Coturnix japonica: one gene and its partners. The protein of the gene in region 2 purifies or fractionates together with the protein of the main gene of each other region. This does not show direct contact. Links are inferred from orthologs where the notes say so. Each region holds a gene or a part of one and is shown on either strand. Other genes may lie near its edges. The genes, in order: MAP1LC3A, RETREG1 and GABARAPL1.

Evidence for each region.
Region 1: the proteins of RETREG1 (region 2) and MAP1LC3A purify together in Homo sapiens (affinity purification with western blotting; 3 studies listed by BioGRID and IntAct, with this or other methods). This does not show direct contact. The link is inferred for Coturnix japonica from reciprocal best matches to the Homo sapiens genes RETREG1 and MAP1LC3A.
Region 3: the proteins of RETREG1 (region 2) and GABARAPL1 purify together in Homo sapiens (affinity purification with western blotting; 3 studies listed by BioGRID and IntAct, with this or other methods). This does not show direct contact. The link is inferred for Coturnix japonica from reciprocal best matches to the Homo sapiens genes RETREG1 and GABARAPL1.

Annotation. Positions count from the first base shown.
Region 1 is NC_029535.1:1,283,177-1,287,477, forward strand, and holds the start of MAP1LC3A (microtubule-associated proteins 1A/1B light chain 3A), read right to left. Parts: upstream 2,874-4,301; 5' UTR 2,786-2,873; coding exon 2,746-2,785; intron 1-2,745. UniProt on the Homo sapiens protein: Ubiquitin-like modifier involved in formation of autophagosomal vacuoles (autophagosomes). While LC3s are involved in elongation of the phagophore membrane, the GABARAP/GATE-16 subfamily is essential for a later stage in autophagosome maturation.
Region 2 is NC_029517.1:54,602,943-54,606,233, forward strand, and holds the end of RETREG1 (reticulophagy regulator 1), read right to left. Parts: intron 2,819-3,291; coding exon 2,307-2,818; 3' UTR 549-2,306; downstream 1-548. UniProt on the Homo sapiens protein: Endoplasmic reticulum (ER)-anchored autophagy regulator which mediates ER delivery into lysosomes through sequestration into autophagosomes.
Region 3 is NC_029516.1:70,390,196-70,394,438, forward strand, and holds the start of GABARAPL1 (gamma-aminobutyric acid receptor-associated protein-like 1), read right to left. Parts: upstream 2,898-4,243; 5' UTR 2,759-2,897; coding exon 2,669-2,758; intron 1-2,668. UniProt on the Homo sapiens protein: Ubiquitin-like modifier that increases cell-surface expression of kappa-type opioid receptor through facilitating anterograde intracellular trafficking of the receptor. Involved in formation of autophagosomal vacuoles.

The DNA of each region.
Region 1 (4,301 bases), on a different chromosome or scaffold from region 2:
AGGGCCCCATCCATGGCTGTAGGCACCTCCAGGAACAGAAAACCCCCAGCTCTGAGCAGCAGTGCCAGGGCTGCACTGCCCTCTCAGTGAAAATCTTCCCCTTGACATCTAATCTGAATCTTCCCTCTAGTTTAAAGCTGTTTCCCCTCGTTCTATCACCATCTACATGTGTAAAAAGTTGATTTTCCTCCTGTTTATAATCTCCCTTTAAACATTGCAAGGCTGCAATGAGGTCTCCCCGCAGCTTTCCCTCCTTCAGGCAGAACACTCCCAGCTCCCTCAGCCAGACTCCATAGCAGAGATGCTCCAGCCCTCTGAGCACCTTTGTGTCCTCCTCTGGACCTCCTGCAGCAGCTCCACGTCCTTCCTGTGCCAGCAGCCCCAGGGCTGGATGCAAAACCAAGGTGGGGTCTCACAGGAGCTGATCACAGGGGGACAATCCCCTTCCTCACCCTGCTGCCACCTGGTGAAGGCCACTCTTCAGTTCTATGTGCTGCTCTTACCGACTGCTGCCTTTTCCACATGAGAAGTGCACTGCCAGAACTGAAGGCACAGAAAACTGCACCTGGGATGGGAGCATCCAGCCCAAAGATGCACCTTTCACAGGAAGCAGCGCAGGGTCAGCAGGTTGCACACATGGCTGCAGCCAGGACAGCCTGCTCCTCTGACACAGAGCACAGCTTCACTCTGGGAATTGGTCTGGACTCCTACCATGGATCTGACTAAGCAGAACGCAGCTCCCTCAGCATTCACAGGCAGGTTTGCACGTGGCAGCTGAGGGGCTCCATCAGATCTCACCCCCAGCCCAAAGATACAGCCACAGCCACAGCGGGGAGCACAACCCCAGCAGAGCCCCCTCTGATGTGCATCAGACACCAGGGGGACGCCGCATGCCCCAGCGTTGGACTTAAGTCCTCAACAGCATCACACTGAGCTCCATAAAATGTATTCAGAACAGACCTGAGACAAAGCAGATGGGCAAACAGAAGAAACCCCATAGAAAAACAAACCTCAACACTACAAGAAGGGGGAAAATGGGCACAAAGCACAGCAGAGCGTCAGCACGGGGCAGCGGGCCAAGGCCTCACCGAGCCACGTGCCGTGACACCGGAGCCTTGGGCGGCTCTTGTAAACAGCCACACTCTGACTCTGCCTGTTCTGTTCTTTTGGAGCCGTTCCACTTCTCTCCAGCTCTGCGGCCTTACAAACAGCGCCGTTCTGAGGGTGCAGTGTCACTGGAAATATTTTCCATCGTCCGTCTCCAGCGGCACTGTCAACAATCGCTTCCTGCTCCCGTTGTGCAACGAGCTGAAGACGAAAACAAGCGCTGTTTACTTTCTCCAGCGGAGCGATCCCAGCCCCGACCCAAAGCAGCCGAGCGGGCGCCGGGCCGCCTCCTCTTCCTCCTCGTCCCGCTGAGCTCTGCACATCAGCCGGGAGCCAAAGGGCACAGGACGGCGCAGACACCCGCGGTCACACAGCACCCGACTCCGTCTCCCCCCCTTTCCCTCCTGCGCTATTTCAGTCCCGCTCTCCTTCGGTCACTCCGAGCCTCGACTTTTGTTTTCCTCCAGCCTGAGCAACGTGCAAAGGCAAAGCCGGCTCCTCCCGCCCGCGATGCCGGCTGCCACGGCGGAGCAGCGGGCAGAGATACGGGCGGCACTCGGGATTCTGCTGCTTTTAATAGAAAACTCCAGCCAAGCGCCGTGTGGCCGCGGGGTTCGGCCGGCAAAGGTCAGGGGGAGCAGCAGCTGCCGCTCTGCCGGGCAAGGCACGACGCGGCGCCCCGTGCGGTAACACTGACCCGTACGGTAACATCGCCCCGTGCGGTAACACTGCCCCGTACGGTAACACTGCCCGTACGGTAACACTGCCCCGTACGGTAACACTGCCCCGTACGGTAACACTGCCCCGTACGGTAACACTGCCCCGTACGGTAACACTGACCCGTACGGTAACACTGACCCGTACGGTAACACTGCCCCGTACGGTAACACTGCCCGTACGGTAACACTGCCCCGTACGGTAACATTGCCCCGTACGGTAACACCGACCCGTACGGTCACATCGCCCCGTACGGTCACATCGCCCCGTACGGTCACATCGCCCACCGCCCACATTCAGCACAACGATGTTTCCACGCGAGCGCGGAACCCGCCGGGCCCGGCAGCACAGGGTGCGGAGCGCGGGGTCCTCGGCACAGCGACCCCCAGCCGGGCGGGGGCACCGGGCGGTGCGCGAAGGTTCGGCCGCCCACCCGCAGCCGAAGGGGCTCAGCCCGCCGCCACAGCGGGGCGAAGGGGTCGCGGCTCCGGGCGGTGCCACAATAAGAAACGGGGGGTGGGGGGGGACCGCCGCGCTACGCGGGTGCGTTCGGGCTGCGGGAGGAGGACAAGGAGCCCGAGGGCCGCCGGTACAACCCGGTACAGCCCCGTACAGCCCGGTACAGCCCGGTACAGCCCCGTACAGCCCGGTACAGCCCGGTACAGCCCCGTACAGCCCGGCACAGCCCGGTACAGCTCCGTACAGCCCCGCACAGCTCCGTACAGCTCCGTACAGCTCCGCACAGCCCCGTACAGCTCCGTACAGCCCCGTACAGCCCCGCACAGCCCCGTACAGCCCCGCACAGCCCGGTATAGCCCGGCCGGAGGGCACCGCCCGCCCCGCGGCACCGCGCGGCCCCATCCTCGCCCCCCGATCGCTGCGCACGCAGCTCCCGCGCACATCGCCCCGCCGTCCGCTCACCGAAGGTGCGGCGCTGCTTGAAGGGCCGTTCCGAGGGCATGGCGGTGGTGTTGGCGGCGGCGGCGGCGGCCGGGCCGGGTCGCAGGTGCCGGCGGCGGCTCCGTGTGGCGGCTGCGGCGGAGCGGGCGGTGACGTCACCGGGGCGGGCGGAGGGCCGTGACGTGTCACGTGACGTGTCCGTGGGGCGGTGCCGCCCGGTGCGATGAGCGCCGAGTCATCGATCCCGTTTTCAATCGCGGCCTTTCGGGCCCCGCTCACACCCCAAGAGCCGCTTTCCCCTCCCGCAGCACATCGCTGAGCGCTGCTCCGTGCGCACCTGAGCCGCTCCCCCAGCCCGGGCTGCCCAGGGCCGGGGCCGCACCGCCTGCGGGTGTAGGATTCCCTCCGCTCATCCGACCTGAATCTTCCCTGTTCTAGTTAAAGCCGCCCCCGTCCCCCGCTCTGCCCATGTACTCAGTCCCCGTCCCCTCCTCTTACTGCCCCGCACGCCCCGGAGCAGCCCGTCTCCCCCCGCTGCACACACAGCCCGCATACCTTGCAGAGCAAATCACGGCTACAAATAGAGCGGGCTATTTCTAGAGCCGTGAACGAATCAAACCCAGCTGCAAACGGTGACGGTGTTTTGCAGAGAGCCACACTGCATGTCCCCGTGAAGGCACGCTGCAATGAGCGCTGTGCTCCAAAACAACCCCCCATGGTGGGCAGACATTGAGTACATCCCTGCTTCAAAGGGACAGAAAGGCTCCCACTGCATCTTTTAAAAGTGCTCTGATGATCAAAAGGGTCCTGGCCATCCAAAAATGCAGAAGGGAAAGAAGTTGCGGTACTGACTGAGATAAGGCAGATGGACTGACATTGCAGACTGCAGGCTCACTGAATTTGTTACTGTTGTTAAGCACTAACCCACTTTTGACGAGGAACAGGTAGACAGACCAACCCAGCAGCAGCAAGCAGCCCTATAGCAACCCACGATCAACAGCCAGCTTTACAATGCCAGCATTCCAGCAGGGTGAGCACTGCTGGTAATGAGCACCCTGCATGTTTGTGACAGCTTGGAGCCTCCCCGAGGAATGCTGTTGTGCTGCTGAAGTAGTGTATTACTGTCAACACAGACCTGATGACGCTCAGACTCCTGCAGTGTTGGTGCTGTCAGAGCTCAGTGCCCTGCAGCCCCCGCACACCACAGCTCTGCATGCAGCCTGTGCAGGTCGGGGCACTCTGCTAACACACAGCCAGCTTGGCCTGCTGTAGGCCTTGCTTTCATTCCCTACAGACATAGCAATGCACAGCAAAAGCTTTAAGACAAGGTAAATAAAGCTCCTGTGTGTGAAAGGAGTGCTGCTCAGCCATCTCAGGCAGACAAATAGCTGCTGCCCATAGCAGCTGAAAGACGTGTCTGAAGATGAACAGATGTTTCCACAAGTCTATCTTTTGCGATCTCTTAAGTGCTGTCACCTCCATTCCTCTGCCACGGCCTTATCTCAGCTGGACAAAGAGATCTTGGGCTACAAGTGCTGCTGCTTGCAGCCCTGAGCCATACTTCAAACCCCCCTCAT
Region 2 (3,291 bases):
CATCTATGTTGAAACCAGAAAATGGATCATTTACAAAACGTCCAATAAACTCCTCCAACCTTATTATCCTCCTTGATCTAATTTATTCTCCTAGAAGACTGCCCAGTGTTAGGTACTTTCTTGACCACAAGTATTCTTCATAAAACAACAATAAAGTGCACGCTGTTGCAATGCCACCACTGATGGCCACTCTCACCCACCCACTCCAGCCAAGCTCACAAAGAACTGCTGCCTCCCCAGCCCTCCCTATCCTGCAGCCTGTCCTTTCCCTGGGCACCAGCACCCTTGTTCAGAGAGCACGCCTTGTCTAGGAGCTCTGCAAGGTCAGCATCTGGAAGCTGTAGGCTTCTCACTGTATCTACTGCCCTACACAAGGAGCAAGGACACAACGTTCTTGTCTAAGAAACATAAATGGCCTTTAAACTTCAAGATTTCCCAGCCAAAGCTTCCTTTGTTTCTATTTTTCCAAATGGGAAGGACAGGCTTGGGGGAAGCTGAAAAGGAAACTTAACAGTGTGAAAGCGACATGGCCATGTTTTTCAAATAACTTTCAGAAACTTGCTTTTAATGGTAAGATGCTATAATTTCAAAAGCAGCATCTTGGGTGATCTATATCCAGCATCCACTTACTCGAAATGGATTTGATAATGAAGGCACAGGCTCACTTTTTTTTTTTTACTGGTAAAAGACAGCAAACACAGTCAATATGCATTACTGACACAAAAGCACAAGCGACGATAAAGCCAGTGTCAAAACTTCTCAGCATCTGTCCTTTAGCTTCAATGCATCTGGCCTTCTGCCTACCTTTTCACCTCAGGAAAAGAACAAAGTAATTAGAATGGAGTTAACTTCAAACACAGGTTTACCTACACATACACGTTAGTGGGAATTGTTATACTCTGTTGCTGAACTTTCTGAGGGTCCTAGATGACAGTATTCACCTCTTAAAATGCCAGCAAATGGAAAATCACTTCAGTAGTAGTAGTAGCAGCTGACATGGTCCCTCCACTTTGCTAACAGTTTATGTCACAGTAGAAAAACTAGCTTTACTTCTTTCTATTTCTTTGATTACTATTGCGTGGTATTGATTTTGTTAAAGGTGAACAAAGAAGCCCTAGGAAAAGTTAAACGAGTAACCTGCTTAAGATCCCATGCCATTCACTGTGCACGTGTGGAGTTTAAAATGGTCAGTCACTGAAACAAGTTCATTTTTGTTTGATTGTTTGTTTTCAATTACACGCCAGGAAAAAGACTCTGAGTGTCTTCCATAGCAAATCACTGAGTACTTTAAGTATCTCACAAGATCCAGCTTGTACAACTTTCTTTGACGGTGATGGCAGTTGTTATGGGGAAAAACAAAACAAAACAAACAAACAAAACAGAAACAGACCCCCCAACATTTGGAATTATGCAAGTGGCAGCTAGAAAAGCCCTTCGTTTTACCTCTAGCTTTTATATCATCCCTAGTCCGAACAATAACTATCCCACCTGCTCCCCAAAAGGCTGTTCAGATTACACAGTAACTCATCTATAAAAATGTGCTGGCTGACTTTACACAGGCAATAGTGCCAAGGACCAGACTCTGAAGGAACACAGCAGGTGGTCAGTCACATAGCATGCCACTTCACAACTCTACAAGCCTAAAACAGCAAAGAACGTGGAAATGCATCACCATATCCAATACAACTCAAAGATTTTTAAGTGTTAAATCAAGTTCTCCAATAGTGCTGTGCACACATTTAAACTAGGCTTCCGCTGGTTAATGCATTCTTAAGTAGGAGATGCACTATACATAACGGTAACTGCAGAGAGTCATACTTCCTGGCATGATTGAAGGAGGTGAGATTTAGTTACTCTCGCTGCGATCCTCTGATAACTCATCCTTGCTGTGTTAACCATTAATTGTATTGCATGGTTGGCAACTATGAGTAAATCAATCACCAATGTTGAAAATTTGGCTCAGGACCACAAAGTGCATGTTTGGCATAAGATAAAACAAACCTCTCCCCCAATCCTTTTGAACAACTGACCTCCAGCCCACATCTGCGACCGAACGGTGGATAGATAATTCATTTCCATGCTATTACATTGAGGTATAACTACCAGAAACGTTAACTATCAGTATCAGCTGATATTTATCCAGTTAATTCACTCTGCATAAGGGAAATTATTACAACACATCTAAAGTGATAGTTAAAGCTTACAGCTCAGAATTTTCCTTTTTTTTTTTTTTTTTTTTTTTTTTGCATTTGATTTTGTGTGTTTTATGTTTCATTTCCTTTATGTCACCAGCTGCAATTCCCAGGTTAATGATTTCCAAGCAGATGTGAAAGAAAGCCCGAAGACTTCTTTTTTTCCTGGGATTCTGCTTCTTGGCCTTGTGAAAGTCCCAGTTCTTTCTCAATCTGCTCAAGCTCAGACTGGTCAAGCAGTTCAAAATCATCGGCTTCCTCGGTGTCTGTCTCCTCACTCAAGCTGGGCACCGCGTGTGATGGAGCTGGCTGCACAGACTGCAGCTGGTCTTTGATGGCAGCTGACACCGCGGCGGCGATGACATCCCCAGCAATACCGCTCATTAAATTAAAGGTTTGGTCACTGGTCAAAGGCAAGGAGAGCCCTGCAGTGGATGGTCTCTCTTTACTCGGTCTGGAAGAATGCTCCGCCTTTGAAGACATTTGTTCTTTTATTCTGTTTTGCTGGATGGGCATACCGATGCTTGAGTCATCATCGTCATTTGTTCCTGCCCCATTTTCTAAAGAAGGGAATTCTGAGAGCTCTCTAGCGAAAGCTTCTTCGTGATCACTAGGTCGGTCAAAATCTATCATAAGATTAACAAAGGGAAACTGTTAGCGAACAAGAAAGGCTTCCCCCCAAAAGCAGCCACAGGTAAAAATGAAACTCATCAATTTTCCTTTGAATACACTTATTATTTCATCATCTTCTGTACTCTTAACACAGAAGAGTGTTATCTTATATCTAAAACAGAATAAAAACCTAGTACTTTGCATCACCTGATATCAACCCGACTTCGAATTTGAGCTTGTACCGTGTGAGGAAATCATTCCAATCCCATTAAAAATGATTGAAATGTAAAACAAAGGAACAAAAAAAAATAAACCAAGCACTCAACTATATTGCATTTTCCATTTCAGTGAGCCCACAACATTAAATTTTTCTGCCTAAGGTCATTTTGCAATATTTATGTGGAGATTTGGAAAACTGCTTGAGAACAACTCCTTTCAATATTATTTGAAGAATATTCCTTTTTAAAGCGGTATCTAGCTGCATATG
Region 3 (4,243 bases), on a different chromosome or scaffold from region 2:
ATTCCTATCTCTGAAATAGGAACTATTCCCAAGTGACATGAATATGAAAAGGCTTGGAAACCTTTCCAAAGCTTGGTGACACGTTTCCATGGAAATACTGTGTGCATGTGGAAAGAAAATGCAGCCACTGGTAGGTTTGTTTTTTTTCCTGGTATGTATTTTTGATCAAGTAGAGAGATATATTACATGATTCAATCTATGTGGCTTACTGTTCTTCAGAAACCATTTTGACCTTCCCTGAGACACTGTGAGACTAATTTCTAAGAATCATAGAATTGCTCAGGTTGGAAAAGACCCTGAAGATCATCACATCCAACCGCAGCCTAACCATAGTACCCTAACTCTAACAACCCTCTGCTAAATCATATCCCTGAGTACCACATCCAAACGGCTCTTAAACACATCCAGGGATGGCGATTCAACCACCTCCCTGGGAAGCCAAAATCAGCAGCTGTGTCAGCTGTGCAATAGTAAAGGCTGGACTGTTGTGCTTCGTGTTTCCTTCCTTCTTTGGAAGGAAAATGGTGTTGTCACATCAATGAAACAGTACACCAAAGGAAAAAGACATGATAAGCTTTGTGTATTAACTTGGCATGGCACTTTTTCCAACCAAACACTCCTCGTTCCAGATTCAAGTATCCACAAAGCATGTCACACAGTAGAGATGCTGGCTTGGATACCTGTATACTCTTCTCCATTTAGATGCCTCCAATGCAGCCAAAAGCCCTGAAAATTCTAGGTTTCTTCCTAAAACACAAACGTAGTTTGCTAGTTCAAGAACCTCAACTACTAGGCAACTGAGCTCTTTCACACTAAGTTTGTGTTAGGACATACATTTCCATACAAGATAAAATTGACAAGTGTTGTGAAGGAAAGGTAGTTGCACAACCTCACTACACAGCTTCAGACTGACCAGCAACAGTACTTTGCCTATTTTCTTACCCTGAAACGCTACATGGTAGCATCAAATAAACTGAAGTAGAAAAAAAGCCTTTAGTTTTTGCTTTCAATTTAGAAGATTGGTAAGCAGAACTGTCAGGTAGCAACAGTGACAGGACCAAGCTGACTCAAAAGGATGGCATGTAGCTTAGTCATTAGATAAAGGAAAAGAAGATAGGGGGTACCTTGATTTATGAGGACAAGGTGAGCTCTGAGGATTCTAAACCCCTAGAAAGGATTCAAATTAAATAATCAAGTTTGAGACAGATCTCCCTCTTGCAAAGAGGGAAAAATGGAGGTGTTTTCCTAGATAATCAACTGTAGTAAGTTTCCCTGATAACCCAGGCAAGGTATCTCTTCTAAAGGTTACTTTGCACAGAGAGACAAACTTACAAAGACAATCCAAAGGGCAGATATATTATCTTGATGTCTGTTGCTGCTGGGTGACTGTGGTAACAATGGACTGGGCCAGCATTATAATTTCAGCAAAATGCAGACATATCACAACAGTGAAGTGCCAGCAGCCAATGGGACATTGCTGTCAAGGATCCTACTGTCGTGAAGGGCAGTGACAGAAGTGATTAAATACGTCTGTTGCACTCTGTGCAGCTCTGACAACAAGCCTTCCCCAGCAATCCACACCAGGCCTCTCCAAGCAGTGTTTTCACTTCCCCTTAGCTGCAGCACAGCTCACTTAGTTTGATCCTGTTTTTGTCCATTACACTCTACTAAAGCCCCTCTGTCTTGGCATTTTTACTCCTTGCCAGACCAGGTCTGTTGCTGGGCTCTCCACATAGTTCTTCCAGTCACTTCTATCATGACCTGCTGCATTACCTGCCACTCTCCTGACCAGCTGAGCCTGCTGTGGCCGTCATCTCAAAAGACAGACCTGCATACACTGCATGCTCAATTACTCTCATCCTACAGGGAAAAGCTCAGGTGAAACAGTTCTTTTGCACACTGCACCTCTGGTCACCCCAATCTAGGACAGAACTCTCCAGTGTTACAAAACAAACAAAATAAACCCTAGTGTTACTATTTCTTTTTGCAATTATTGCCACAAATTATAAAGCCAGGAGTTTTCCACTGAGATTCCAGACAGTCCTAAGGACAAGAAAGGAAAGTTCAGCTCGAAAATGATCTTGTTTTCCAAATGATGCTTTTTGGGTGATTAAAGAGTAGGGAAGTAAGACTGGGAATTATTATTGAGCATCCATCTCTTTTTAACTCTCATGCAAAACACAAAGCTGAAAAGAACGGAGCTGGACTACACTGAAAAGCAAGCTCCAAAAAGAAAAAGGTATAAAATAAAAACAAAACATCTGATAACAGCGATTTAGGCCTTTTTTTTTTTCCTTACAGAGAACGCCTGTTTCACACATTCATTGTTCTCCTCCATTTTCCCAGAGCAAGTCGTAAGCTCCTTCCCCACCCTCCAGCCCCACACGCATAGGCTGCCATAATAAGATTAACAGCGTTCTTGCTGTCGAATTACTGCGGATGCCCGAAAAAGACCCCCACACCCACCCACGGACCTTGGCGTAGAACAACAAATACGGTGGCACTAAAGAGAAAGCAATCCGGAATTAATACCGACACGCCAAAGTCATCTTTCCCAATCCCGTTCCTTGCAAAAGAAGCAAAGCAGCAGACGGCAACGACAAGGACAGCAAAGAATGGCGACATTTGCACAGCCAGCCCGAGGGCAGCGCTCGTCCAGCACACTCACAGGGACTCTGTCGGGGTATTTCTTCCTGATTTTCTCCCCTTCTTTTTTCCTGTACTCGAACGGGTGGTCTTCCTTGTACTGGAACTTCATGATGCGACACAACCGAGCCGGCCACTACCGTCCCTCCGTCACCTATGACCGGGCACTCAGCAAACCCTACTACGCCCGCGCAGCGCACGCAAACCCAGCGCAGCGCAGCGCAGCCCCGCACTGTGCTGTTGCGGGACGTCACAGCGACATACCCTCCCCTTCCGGCACTGTCGGCATTGCAGCGGGGTGGGGGCACTGTCTCGTGTGTGTGTGTGTGGGGGGGGGATGTGCTGGGTCTTTGTGTTTACATTCGGTTACTGTGCTTTTCGGGTTACCTAATGGTAACAATTCTAAAAGAAAGATCAAAAAATCCACAAAAACACAGCCACCAAAATAATGTGCGTGACTCAGGGGTTACCCACGCACCACCGTCAGAGGTGTCCCCGTCCAATGAGTCTCTTCTGTACGTGGTTGTGATTGATATAGTGTGCGTGTAGTATTACGGACTGGAAAACGTGTTGTAAAGCTGTTCTGTTTTGACAAGAGACCCTCAGCAAAAGAAACGCAATAATGAAAGCTGAGACCTCCACATGAGGCCAAATTGTCTCCTTCTCTAGGTGTCAAGGATTTCCCCTCTATCCTTCTACAACCCAGTATATATTATTAAAAAGAAGTTAACACCCCGGTATATATCACTAAAAGACAGGTTGCCAAACTTATCTCTATCCAAGGATGAGCAGATGTCCAGAAATAATGGCCAAGTGCTGAGTGAGCAAATGTTACAATTTTAGTACCTATAAATTACTTACAATATGCGTTATCGAGCATGCATCAGTGAAGAAAGTTCATCTAGAGGACAAGTGAGGAAGACCACTGGATGAAGTAAAAGACTGTCAATTGGACTGCCATGATGCTAAAAGGACACTAGACAGTAGAAGAGACCATGGAATAGAAGACTGGAAATCTCATCCATCTCTACCTGTGTTAAGTGTGTGTAAGTTAGTTGTCTCAAGTATAATTGATGAGTATGTACTATCTGTGGAAATATAATGGATGGGGAATCATGTAATCTTGGAAGCACTTATGGTGGAAGACGAAAGATGGATGCTCCATTGCAATGCTCTGTAAGGGCATCGTGACAAAATAGTAAGTAATAAAAATAATATCAGGAGAACAGGATCAGGAAGAAGCCCTGGTCCTTTTCTAGAAATACTCATACACATCTTTTAGACTGCTCCAAGAAATTCGTACTTCAGACATTAATGGTTTCTTTATCCCTATATGCTTATACACATAAGTCTTGCCTGAAGGGAAGGAGTTATCCCAACACTGGGAAGGACCTACTGCAAATCCCCACAGCAGATTTAGGGTGCTAGTTTGTGCTCTCTGCCCTGGAGAGAGCTGTTTATCATATATTGCCCACCACCCACCTTTACACTCTATAGCCCACTGCTTCTTGAATTCAGAGGTAATGCTCTCTCCAAGCCGTGGTGACTGTGATCTCTCATCATGCATGAAGGAGAGATATGGAGGAAGTATATTCAC